3 linked regions of the Xenopus tropicalis genome follow. The protein of the gene in region 2 interacts with the protein of the main gene of each other region in a pairwise test. Links are inferred from orthologs where the notes say so. Each region holds a gene or a part of one and is shown on either strand. Other genes may lie near its edges. The genes, in order: rcbtb2, fars2 and agtrap.

Region 1 (3,653 bases), on a different chromosome or scaffold from region 2:
CACAATAGAATTTCTAACACATCTATGCAGGCAGGTATTGTATCACTGGCCCTATTAGCCGACTGAATTTGGTGCACTTTCACTAATAAGAAATAGGCCCAAACGCATTTTAAAGGGAACACATGAAGGTTGCAGTTGGCAGGCATTACAATTTGTGGTTACTTAGACTATAGTTTACATTCATAAATTATTTCATTTAAACTTGATATTGCTGTCTCAGTGCAACAGATTTAAGGAATACATATTCACACATTTGAAAATTCAGCATGCATGTCAGTTGGAACACATAAGAAAAATCTTTTCAGAATGCATACAACTTGAACTCATCAGGTCTTTCTAACAGTGTGTGAATGGGAAATTCAGCACTACTTCTAATATACTCATGTTTTTGAACTGCACATTCAGACACTGCTATGCAAATATTCCGACACATATCAAGTCAGTTTTAAACATATTCTGCAGACACTTTCAAATACTTGTGTTCATTAAACCATATGCTAAAATATGCTTTATTTTTAGATGGTCTTTAAATCAGACACAGGCAACCTGCTTGATATTCATCTAAAACCCCCACCATCCCCACAACTGAAAATAAGTTGCTGGGAGTTTTAGTGCAACAACATCTGGAGTTTTGCTGTGTTTCCTGTTCTGGTTGTGCACACGGGGCACCAATAGAATTAGTGCACACTGAAAGTTCATGATGATCAGATGTTAGATTATGCACACTGGAAAACAGGACCATCTGGATCAGACAGCTCACACAGATAAGCTTTAATCGGTACAAATCAAAATACATTTCTATAGTCAATATAAAGAATCTATTCTGGGGTATTCTGTGCTATGTACTGCCACTCAAAGATGGTTGTCTCTAAAAATAACAGTGGAAAAAAAAATCCAAACATGCTCGACACTGATGCTGTCTCTGCTTTACCTGATCTGGAGAAGAACTTTATGCACGTATATGTACTTTTCATCGACTAAGAACTTCAGGTCTGCTGTGTTAGGGTTGTCAAATTCTCTCTTTAGAGATTCTGCAACAGTAAGGTGATCATCTGGCTCTGAAAGAAACCAAAATGCAAAACAGAATGTAAATATAAAGGAACAGATAACATAGGGGTTGCATGGCACTTTACAGATATTTAGCATTTTTGCTCTTTAGCACCCAAGGCAGCAGGACATAAATTCATTTCCCCAAGGCCACAAGGATCTCAAACAAGAATTACAACAGGAACCAAGTCCTCTAACCACCATTTCTCCCAAATAAAATAATCACTTCACAATTATTAGGTCTATCTAAAAGAGGCTACTTATACAGTTTGCAAATGTTTTTCTTTATTAAACATTGTGTCTTAATGTTAGAGGTATAATTTGCCAAAATAAAATAAATAGGTGGAATTGCACAGCTTATTTTCCAAGCTGCCACTCATAATTTTAACATATTTTACGTTAACCAAAATATTCTCTATGAATTCAGAGTTACAAAAAGTGGTACTTTTATGCCCTCTACTGAGCACAGGAGAGACATGCAAAACAGAGAGGTAAAGATCCTACTAGAGAGTTATGTTATTGACAACAAAGGGGGGGGGGGGGCGGAATGTTAACACAGTCAGTTATATTTAAATAGCAGATTTGTTTAGAAATGCGTTTGCTAGAGTTGTAATATACAAATTCATACCTTAAATATCAATTCCACAAGTGTTTCCCTCTGCAACTCAGCTCCAATTGCAAAAAATACTGTTTGTACCAAAAGTTTATCAAACCCTACAGGCTTCCTGTGTTTTGCAAATCCCTCAGTCCAAGGGGATACTGGATTTCCCAGCAGGATGAGAGGTTTCAGTGGCATCTCACTGAAACACATAATACCCTACTTCCTCTGCATCGGGAAAAACTACAAGGCACTGAACTCTTTAGGGATATCAGACAGAATTTGCACTACACTAAAAATTTTTTTTTAAAAAAATGTAAATAGTCATAAGGAGATTTAATTTAAAAATAAACACTTTAGTGAACCAGGAATAAACGTAGGAAGCAAAATAAACACCCCCCCCCCACCAAAAAAAACCACACTGCTGTAGTACATGGGCCCTTATAATAATTCTTAAGCCATTGCAACCTTGGACTTGTGTTTGGTATTACTGTCCTGCTGGAAGATGAAAAAATGCAAAATGTCACAGTATTTCCCTTTATTATGTACCATCATTTTTTTTTTTTATTATTTTTTATAGCATGTATGTAGAGATGTATACCTACTACAGGTATAGGACCAGTTATCCAGAATGCTCGGGACCCAGGGCTTTCCGGATATGGGATCTTTCCGTAATTTGAATCTCCATATGGGTCTACTAAAAAATCATTTAAACCCAATAGGATTGTTTTGCCTCCAATAAGGATGAATTATATCTTAGTTGAGATCAAGTACAAGGTACTGTTTTATTATTACAGAGAAAAAGGAAACAATTTTTAAAAATTAGAATTATTTTCTTATAATGGAGTCTATGGGAGATGGCCTTTCTGTAATTCAGAACTTTCTGGATAAGGGATCCCATACCTGTAGTAAGTCTTGTCAGTAATTAAACGACTTTGAGAGCAGAAAAATTAGAAATATGTTGCCTCTGCTGCTACATCTTTTTCATTGCATTAGGAAAAATAGAGGTGGGAAGTGAGCGCCACACTCTACTGCAGTTGGTTGCTTCCCAGCTATATACTCCATCTTTAAATTTACAGTGCATGGGGTCTCGACAACACAGAGAAAGTGAATCTAGGTGTCTGTTCTTGAAAATTAAGGATACATTTTGCAGATATTATGAGATATAAGTAAAACTGCCTAAGTGTTCCCAAATTCTTACCTACAGACAGAAGGCGCCACATTATAGCTGGAGTTGAGAAGCAGGCAAACACATCGTCTGTGCAGGAGAAGTGAGTGAGATGTGGAGTAATGACAGACTGGCCCCGGCACTGGCCCCACATGTAAACTTGACCGCTCTGGGACTTAGCAGCAGAAGTGTGCGAAGAGTGACAGGCTGCAATCTCTACTATTCTGCTCACAGTACCAATAGAGAAATATAAATAGAAAAAAGCTATTACTCTTTGTACCAAGATATTTACAAGATAATCTACATTTATATTCTGCAAAGATTTTAGTCAAGAACATTGAATACATTTTTACTGATGTAAACCGATAAAGCTCCAATACTTTGAATGAATACATTTGTTTCAGCATTTGTCCTCTTCCCTGGAGCTTAAAAATAAGGAGAGTCTTGATATCGGATACTTAGGAACAGTAATCATAATGCCAGTGTTAGCTTCTTGCTAAATAAAATCATTATCCAGCCTAACAGTTTAAAAATATATTATATTCTGATATATTTCAAAATAAATACATTCTGATGAAAGGGCATGCCCCCCAAATGGCATGGCATTTTTTTTGATGCTGCACACATATTTTAGCGGTTTTACAGGTTTTTTTTTAAAAGTACAAATAAACTAATTTCCACGAAAACCACAAATGTCTAGTCATTTATTAAAACATCCGAATTGAAAAGGCACAAACAAATTAAAATGTTGTGATATTTACATTGTCCAAAAATATGTGTAGACTTTCAAATGAAAGAAAAACTCTACAACCATGAATTAAATGTTGTTACAATTTGCCT
Region 2 (4,248 bases):
AGAAAGGTCTATGTAAATACAGCCATAAGCACTCACAGAAATGCTGCACTGACTTCTCCGTGAAAAGATTTATTGTGTCTGTAATTCCTCTGCCAGAGACACGCAGCTCTTTGCTGTCTCCTCTCTCCTGCTCCCCCCTCCCTCAAGAATGCTAAGAACTCACTCCCCCCCTTAGGAATGTGGATCTGAGCCAATCAGCAGGAAGCTAACTCATAGTTCCGAGCATATTTTCAGCTTTTTCGTACGTCCGTGCGACTTTTCTGTACACTTGCACGAAAAATTCAGAAAGCTTCTGCCGCTGTTTACAATCATTCGGTACGAAAATTTTGTGACTTTCGGATCACCAATACGATATTATCGTGACTAATATGATTTTTTCGTAACCATTTTCGTGATAGTTGTGATCTTCAGCAATTCAATTGAAGGTATGCCTGCAGCTTGAGATTAACTCTTTATTAGCCTTTCCTTCTTTCTTAAGAGTTTAGAGAGTCTGTGCCCACTCGCTTACTTAGTTGCCCCCTTTACTTAAACCTGTAAAGGGAAAATTAAACTAAACCTAAATCTCAAACCAATCAATCTCACTTAATAAAAGTCATTTCTGATGAACTATTTGAAAACAGCTAAACTAAAATGGAGATGAAAAAATATCTAGAACGTTAATAGTAAGCTGTAGTAGTAATATGGCCTAAAGGCTACTTGTGCCACAATAAATGCTTTGAAGCAGCAGAAAGAAGTCAATGCCAGTAAAAAGCTACAATAACATTTCTTCTTCACTCAGTTGTAACAAAAAAAACACACAACAAATGCACACAAACCTTAAATGTATGTTCATGTTTTCTCCAATGCATTCCTTCCTATTTTGTAAGATATGACGTACAGAGTGAACCTAAATATGTTCAATATAGATCATATGCTAGGTAGTGTTGTCAAGTGTAGAGAATAATAAAGGACAACTATAAGCTCAAACATACAGAAAATGTATATATTGATATACTTTCTTACCTAAGCTTACTCCACCAATTCCTGAATTACAAGACCATAAATGCTTCCTGAGTCCTGACAGAATATATTTTCTTACATCCATTTGGAATCTGCAGAAAAATAAATGCTATTGGAGTTGCTACACTAAATAAACATAAAGTCAATAAATTATGTTGTTGTATGATAACTATAGAACTGTTAAAGTTATATCTTTCAGCTTCTGGTCATGTTCTCAATTAAAAAATACACAGGCAGGTATCAGTTCATCACTACTAAGTATGCACTGATTTTGCCAAATTCCAGCCATTTTTTCAGGATCTAATTCACCTGAACATGCATTTACATATGCAAATTAGGGTTCTGATTAGTTCAGAATTCAGTCAAATCTGTAGTGATGGATTCAGTATTTGGCCTTATCCTGAAATTATGCATTTGGTGCATCCCTAATACAGGTCTCGGACCCCTTATCCGAAAACCCATTATCCAGAAAGTTCCGAATTACGGAAAGACTCCATTTTAATCAAATAAGTTGCATTTTTTTAAAATGATTTCCTTTTTCTCTGCAATAATAAAACAGTACCTTATACTTGATCCCAACTAAGATAGAATTAATCCTCATTGGAGCCAAAACAATCCTATTGTGTTTAATTACTGTAATTATTGAAAACCCCAGGTCCCGAACATTCTGGATAACAGGTCCCATACCTGTAATTAGCTGCAAAAATATCTGCTAAATTTGTTTTAATAAAGAGGCAAAGAATGCAGACTTGGCATGCTTGACTCACCTAAAACATTGTTGTATATTAATGTGTTGCAGAGCCAAAGCTGGAAGTTTTTGTGCAATGGTTTTCTACAATTATTACTCTAAGGGGCTGATTTACTAATCCACGAATCCGAATGGGAAAAATTCGGATTGGAAAACGGACATTTTGCGACTTTTTCGTATTTTTTGCGACTTTTTTGTAGCCGTTACGACTTGCGCGAATTGTCGCGACTTTTTCATAGCCAGTATGACTTTCGCGAATTGTCGCAACTTTTTCATAGCTATTATGACTTTTGTGAATTGTCGCGACTTTTTCATTGCCATTACAAATTTCGTGAATTGTCGCGACTTTCGTATTGAGCACTCAAAAAAGTAGCAAAATACCGATCATTATGAAAAAAACGCATTCGGACGCTTTTCGGACGTTCGTGGATTAGTAAATGTGCCCCTAAATGTATATGGCAATATGGGTAGCGCATAAATATGGCGCCAACATAATCTCTCAATTAGGAACCTATATACTTGTTTTTAGTTCTTACAACACAATATCACACAAAAACTGTAAATGCTGCTTAGTTACTAAATGCATTAATAGCAGCACACAGAGCCACTCTAAATCATACATGTGTCAATATAATTTTAAATGCATGTGTGCAGGTATGGTGAGTGAGTCTTCTTGTGGGAGTGTTTCTTCCTTACTTATGGACTGTCTGTATTTTTAAAGAATACAGATTGGTTGCAAGTACATTTTTAATAAATGTATAACTGTTAAGTGTGTGAGTGTACACAATTCTCCCAACAACTGCAGAGCCAAATGTTGCCAATAGTGGGTACTGGGAGTATGATATATTAAAGAATAATAAAGAATAATGAAGAACAGATTTCCTATACACTTTGAACTGCCTATTTAAAACATTTATAGTTTAAAGATGGGGGTATTGACGTTATTTGCCAGTTTAATACAGGTTGTAATATAAAGCATGTATTAAAACAGCTAATATAATTAGATCTACTACGTAGCCTACATATATATTTATACAATAAATGGTTATTACTACATAGCTTAACATATAGTTCTAAAGGTGCAGACACTCACACGACCTAAGCAGCAGGTAATCTATGTGACAATGTGAAGGTCTCTTCCCTTTTCTCCCTCCTTTGGCACTTTCAGCAGATCCTATCACACGAGCCCATGACGTCACAGCTACGGGAGGGGACCTGGGACAAACATGTCAGCGGCGTAAATTTACTCTAACATCCCTGAAACGTGTTAAAAGAAAGCCCTATTGGTCCAACGCTCGCAGCTGCGACGACATTCTCATTTTCCATAGATCGCCGATTTAGGTATCTTTAATATTTAAAAGTTTAGCACTGATATTACAAAGACATATGACTGTTACGATAAGAGGAACAACTTGCCGTAGGCGCTTTTTAGGCAAATAGCATTTTTACAGAAAATACCACAAAAGTTCCAACCGAAAGCAAAACGCGGCACGAACACGTTTGTCCCAGATCCCCTCCTGTAGTCGTGACGTCATGCGTTCTTGCGCTAGAAGCTGCTGAAAGTAGGCAAGAAGTGAAAGAAGGGAAGAGACTTTCACGCTGGTTCACCTATCAACTGTATAGGGAGTGTGAGTGTCTGCATCTTCCTAAGGCTCTATTTACTTATTGCACCCCAGCGCTATTTGTAATAGTGCAATATTCAGCATTTATTATTAGCCTGTGTCAGGATTAATTCGCACTGCACGCTTAAGCCTCAGTGTTGTATGTTAACTCCGTATTAAACTGACATGGAGTTTAAGCTGTAAGAAAATTCAGTTACAGAGCTGTCACGATTTGTCATGTAAAACCATAATATTCCCTATACTCAGGGACTGGCATTGTGAAATATCTACTCAGCAACTGGCACTGTGAGATAACTACAACTCATGTCATACATTTACCTCTTTTCAAAAGGAAAAAAAATAAATTTGTGAAAAGAGAAAATATGTTTCTCTTGTACTGCAGTTTAAATGTTAATATTCACATTTAAACTGCAGTCAAAAAAATGTGGCTTTCCTATCCATTAAGTACTCTATTAACATCTCTCTGGCCCTGTGAATAGTTTTGAAGAGTGTTTCTGAGACAATTAGCATTTGGTCTTCATTGTTTTATTTTTTGTGGTTATTTAGGTTTTCGTTCGACAGCTCTCCAGTTTGGTATTTCAGCAGCTATCTAGTTGCTTGGGTCGTTTTTAACCTAGCAACCAGTCAGTTATTTGAATGAGAGACTGGGAAATAAAAAGGACTAAATAGAAAGATAAGTAATAAAAAGTAACAATAACAAAATTGTGGCCTCAGAAAGCAATAGATTTTTGTGTGGCAGTTTCAGTGGACCCCATCTAAAAGCTGAAAAGAAGCAGAAAAGGAAGGCAAATAATTAATAAACTGTAATATATAATGAAGACCAAATGCAAAGTTGCTAGGAATAGAAAGGAACAGTAACACCAAAAAATGAAAATGTAT
Region 3 (4,250 bases), on a different chromosome or scaffold from region 2:
TGAATTAATTACTAATCAGCCTTGTATTGTGAATGCTATATATACAGTATTGTGAGTAAAACCCTACACTCAGGGAAGTGACAGCAGCACACAGCATGTGTTGTAATTTAGCAGAAAAGAAGATGGAGAGCTACTGAGGGCATCTTCAGAGGAACAGATCTTCACTGCTAAAGGGCTGTGGTTGCCGTAGCATGGTACATAATAATACAAAACTTAATGTGCAGCATTTCTACCCTACTTCTTTGTTAAGTTTTAGTTCTCCTTCAAGAAATGGGATAGACTTGAATACTGGACTAAATTTATTTTCATTTTTTACTGTAGTAAGAAACATGCTTTGTGCGGTTTTAAATTACTAAGCTTAGGGACCGACACACAATATACTGTATGTATAGAGTATAAATGTCACAATATAAAGCTGATTAGTAATTAATACAGATAATTACTACATAGCAGCTCAGGAACCAGTGTAGTTTGTATCAAAACTTAATAATCAGCCCTGTAGCCCCAGGCCAACTTTATTATTTGCTTGATAATTTGCAACAACCTCTAGGCTTAGCTTCTCAACAGCTGTTTAGAGCACACTGAGCATGTGAGTGTCACAGACACTTTTTAAGATGGATCAAATTCAAGTCCTGCATCAACTTCATGTTTTTAATGTGAATAAGGACTTCTTTTAAACGATACTTGCCCAGCTGATGCAGAAAAAAAGGTGTTTTGAAAGCATTTTACCTCCTAAAACTGTCATTATATGAGAGCTGCAGAGACAACCTCTCAAGTCAGAAGCCAGAGTGAAATGAAGGTGGGAGTGTCGCTTCAGTCTCCCACAGGAAGTGTTCACAGCACTGACAGACAGGCTTTACTCAACAGTAGCAGGGAAAACCCATCCCAGTTTTCTCCTTCTGTGTCTCTCTGCTCCCTGGCTGCATAGTTTTGCTTGTGCTGCTGCCAGATCAGTAAGCTAGTTATTGATCAATAAGCATAGTTGTAAAATGTAAAAAAGTATAATAGTAAAATGTTCCTTTGTTAGTGGAATGGTATTTTTCAAAGCAAATGTGCACGATTCACAAATGAACGTGCCCAAGTGGACCTAACAATCTATAGTCCATAAAACATTGTTACACACTATGCAACTCCCTGCATCTATTATTAAATTATAAAAGATATACAAACAGTGCACATTAGTGTGTACTGTTATAGAAAAAAAAAGCAGTCTTTGTTTTTCTGCACATTGATACATGAGTACAGGGAGTTGCAGGTAAAACAAATCTGCAGTTGTTCTGGAACAGTATATGACCAGGTGCAGGGAGTTGCAGGTAAAACAAAGCTGCAGTTGTTGTTCTGGAACAGTATATGACCAGGTGCAGGTAAAACAAAGCTGCAGTTGTTGTTCTGGAACAGTATATGACCAGGTGCAGGGAGTTGCAGGGAATACATAGCTGCAGCTGTTGTTCTGCAACAGTATATGATCAGGTGCAGGGAATACAAAGCTGCAGCTGTTCTGGAACAGTATATGAACAGATGCAGGAAGTTGCAGAGAAAAAAGGTCACAGCTGTTATTCTGGAAATGCTTTTTTATTGCATGGACCTTCTACAAATTGTAAATTACCCCCACAAAATATTAAATGTTTTTAGTAGATTGTTTTTTTTTTCAATCATATTTGTTGTTGTTTTACCTTTTTCAGTTAACAGCAAGGCACAGAGTGAGAGGAACAATCAAAGCTGATTGGAGGAAGGTGAAGAACGATCTGAGAGACAGATGGAAACTATCAGGGTGGGTGGGACTGATCTGAGCATAGAGAGGGAGGCAGAGGGAACTGATCACTGGATCATAAGCGCTGTTGAGATGCTGAAACTTTAGACTGGTGCAGTAAGTCGAGTATATAAAATATGGCATGTTTAGCTTCCTCCGGGACCCCCCCTCCCCACCACACGTGCAAAGCACAAAAACCCAATGCAGGTGGGGAGCACCGAGAAATCCACTGTTGGGGTAAGAGATCCTGGACTAAGAGTAGGCGATAGAGGTACCTGCCTATTGCCCCCCAGGCAAGTGCCTCTTCTGCCTGTCCCTAATGGGACTTATTTTTGGGGTCCTGACCTTTGTGAAAATGTTCATGTTATCAGAATATTACCAACTGAATGTTTAAACAGCATACCTGACATCTGCAACAAGAACAGTATTAGAATGATAAAAAGTTTTTCTTTATACCAGCAACTGTACAATGTGGATCATTAGTGTAGTACATTATGTCATGAAGGAAATTTAACACATCAACAAAAAAAGGTTAAAGTCAATGGCCGTCGCTTTTCTAAACCTAAAGTAAAAGACTGGGCTGCAAAGTTTTATTTCAATACATACAATGGCTTTAGCTCTGCTAATTGCACAATAGCAATAAAGTGCCGAATTCCGGGAAAGTACGCAGCTTCCCTATTCACTGGGTATACACAACAGATAATGGCAATATGTATATAAAGCAATATGCTGAGAGCAGCCCCTTGGCACTACAGTATCTGCCTTTAGCCCCCACCTAGCGAAGCGTAAGGAAAATAGAGCAATACAATATTGTAAATGAGGATCGGATATGTTAGTTGGCAGTTACGGAGCAGTCATATTATACAAAGTAGGGTGCTGTAGTTCAACTGAACCTCATCCCATAGCGGAACCTCACGTTACCTCACATCTCCCCTTCCAGAAACACTTTAGAATAGTTTTTATAACGTTCCCACGCCCCCACTAATAAGTAGACAATTACTCTCTAAAGCTTCAATACCTTTAAGTTAACAGCCGGTAACTCCATATCCGTGACTCCTTTTGCCTTCCCTAAACTTCAGAAATTGCCTGCCCGACTGTACGCGCATCACGTGATGCCTCTTCCTAGCGGCTTTGCTCAACTAAGTCAGCGGGGTCACATGGGATTGTGAGCTGTCATGTGATATTGCAGCAATTGTTGGTTACACCGGTTTCATAATTGTGTTCTAGTTGAATAAATTGCCGGAGATATATATTTTTTGGCCACACATAAGCACGCGTGAAATTGAAACTCCATCCCCATGCGTGAAGTTAATATGAAAAAATGGTACCAAGTTCTTGGCTTTATTAAGGGTCTAAGAATCACAGTTCCTGTTTCCTACATGTACCTGACTTCAAGCAGAGTGGTGGTATAGGGTGTAATGTAAAACTCCTCAGTAGGGTAACCAGATCACTTGAGGGACGTGTCTAAAAAATCCAGGTAACAGGCTAACCTGATTGCAGTTTAGTTTAAATGCGAACAGTAATGTCCTGCAACGTGTATTTATTATATGTCCCTGAATATACAAGTGATCTGCTCAGAGGGTTTAATGCAATCCCTTCATAGCATTGGTGCCATGTTGTACAAACTGGCTGTGCTTCACATTGTTTGGGTGTGTGACAATCGTTTCAGTCATTAGGATTGCAACCTGGAAACTTTTTACTCCACCACCACACTAGAAAACTGGGCTGCTAGGATGGGTTTATTTCAAGAGACATATATCAAAATTATGAATGTACCAGTGAATTATACTCCTTTTAAATATATAAGGATTGTGCTTAAAAAAAGTTAGTGTTTCGGACTGACTTATTGAGAAATTCCGCCAAAACCCCACTAGTCCTGCCTGCTTGTTCCACTTCCTGCTGGCTGAATTCATACCTCCCAACATCTGAAAAATAAAAAGAGGGACAAAAAGATTTGGTGCGCGCAGCGTGGCAATTTTTGACCACGCCCACTTTTGTGGCCACGCCCCATTAAAAAATACTCCTTTAATATAGTTGAAATGGCGGGATCAGACGCAAATGTGCTATACCCTCATACTGTACTACCTAAGGAAAACAATATAGCAACTCCTACATATAAAATACAAATAAAGAGAGGAGGCAGTCAGTTATAAGTGAGTTATAACTATGTACCAGTTTTACCCCCCATACACAATGCCCCCAATGGCCCAATAGACAGTACCCCAATTGCCCCCATAGAAAGTACCCCCCCATACACAATTCCCCCATAGACTGTACCCCCCATACACAATGCCCCCATAGTAAGTGCTCCCATACACAGTAGCCCCCATAGGCACTCCAGCTTATTCTGCTGCTCTGCTCCTTATATGGCAGCGACAGGCCCTTTTATAAGGTTGCGCAACCTTATAAGGGACGCAACCTTATAAAAGGGCCTGTCGCCGCCGTACAAGGAGCGGCATAAGAAGCCGGAGCAGCAGAAGTAGCTGGAGCGCCCGGTTCC

What was found.
Region 1: the proteins of fars2 (region 2) and rcbtb2 interact in binary tests that used the Homo sapiens proteins (3 or more experiments, as listed by UniProt). The two-hybrid records come from large-scale screens. The link is inferred for Xenopus tropicalis from reciprocal best matches to the Homo sapiens genes FARS2 and RCBTB2.
Region 3: the proteins of fars2 (region 2) and agtrap interact in binary tests that used the Homo sapiens proteins (3 or more experiments, as listed by UniProt). The two-hybrid records come from large-scale screens. The link is inferred for Xenopus tropicalis from reciprocal best matches to the Homo sapiens genes FARS2 and AGTRAP.

Annotation. Positions count from the first base shown.
Region 1 is NC_030678.2:135,041,787-135,045,439, forward strand, and holds part of rcbtb2 (RCC1 and BTB domain-containing protein 2), read right to left. Parts: intron 3,038-3,653; coding exon 2,847-3,037; intron 1,059-2,846; coding exon 932-1,058; intron 1-931.
Region 2 is NC_030682.2:88,246,963-88,251,210, reverse strand, and holds the start of fars2 (phenylalanine--tRNA ligase, mitochondrial), read right to left. Parts: upstream 2,949-4,248; 5' UTR 2,841-2,948; intron 1,092-2,840; 5' UTR 1,085-1,091; coding exon 1,003-1,084; intron 1-1,002. UniProt on the Homo sapiens protein: Is responsible for the charging of tRNA(Phe) with phenylalanine in mitochondrial translation.
Region 3 is NC_030683.2:65,681,338-65,685,587, reverse strand, and holds the start of agtrap (type-1 angiotensin II receptor-associated protein-like), read right to left. Parts: upstream 2,834-4,250; 5' UTR 2,796-2,833; coding exon 2,769-2,795; intron 1-2,768. UniProt on the Homo sapiens protein: Appears to be a negative regulator of type-1 angiotensin II receptor-mediated signaling by regulating receptor internalization as well as mechanism of receptor desensitization such as phosphorylation.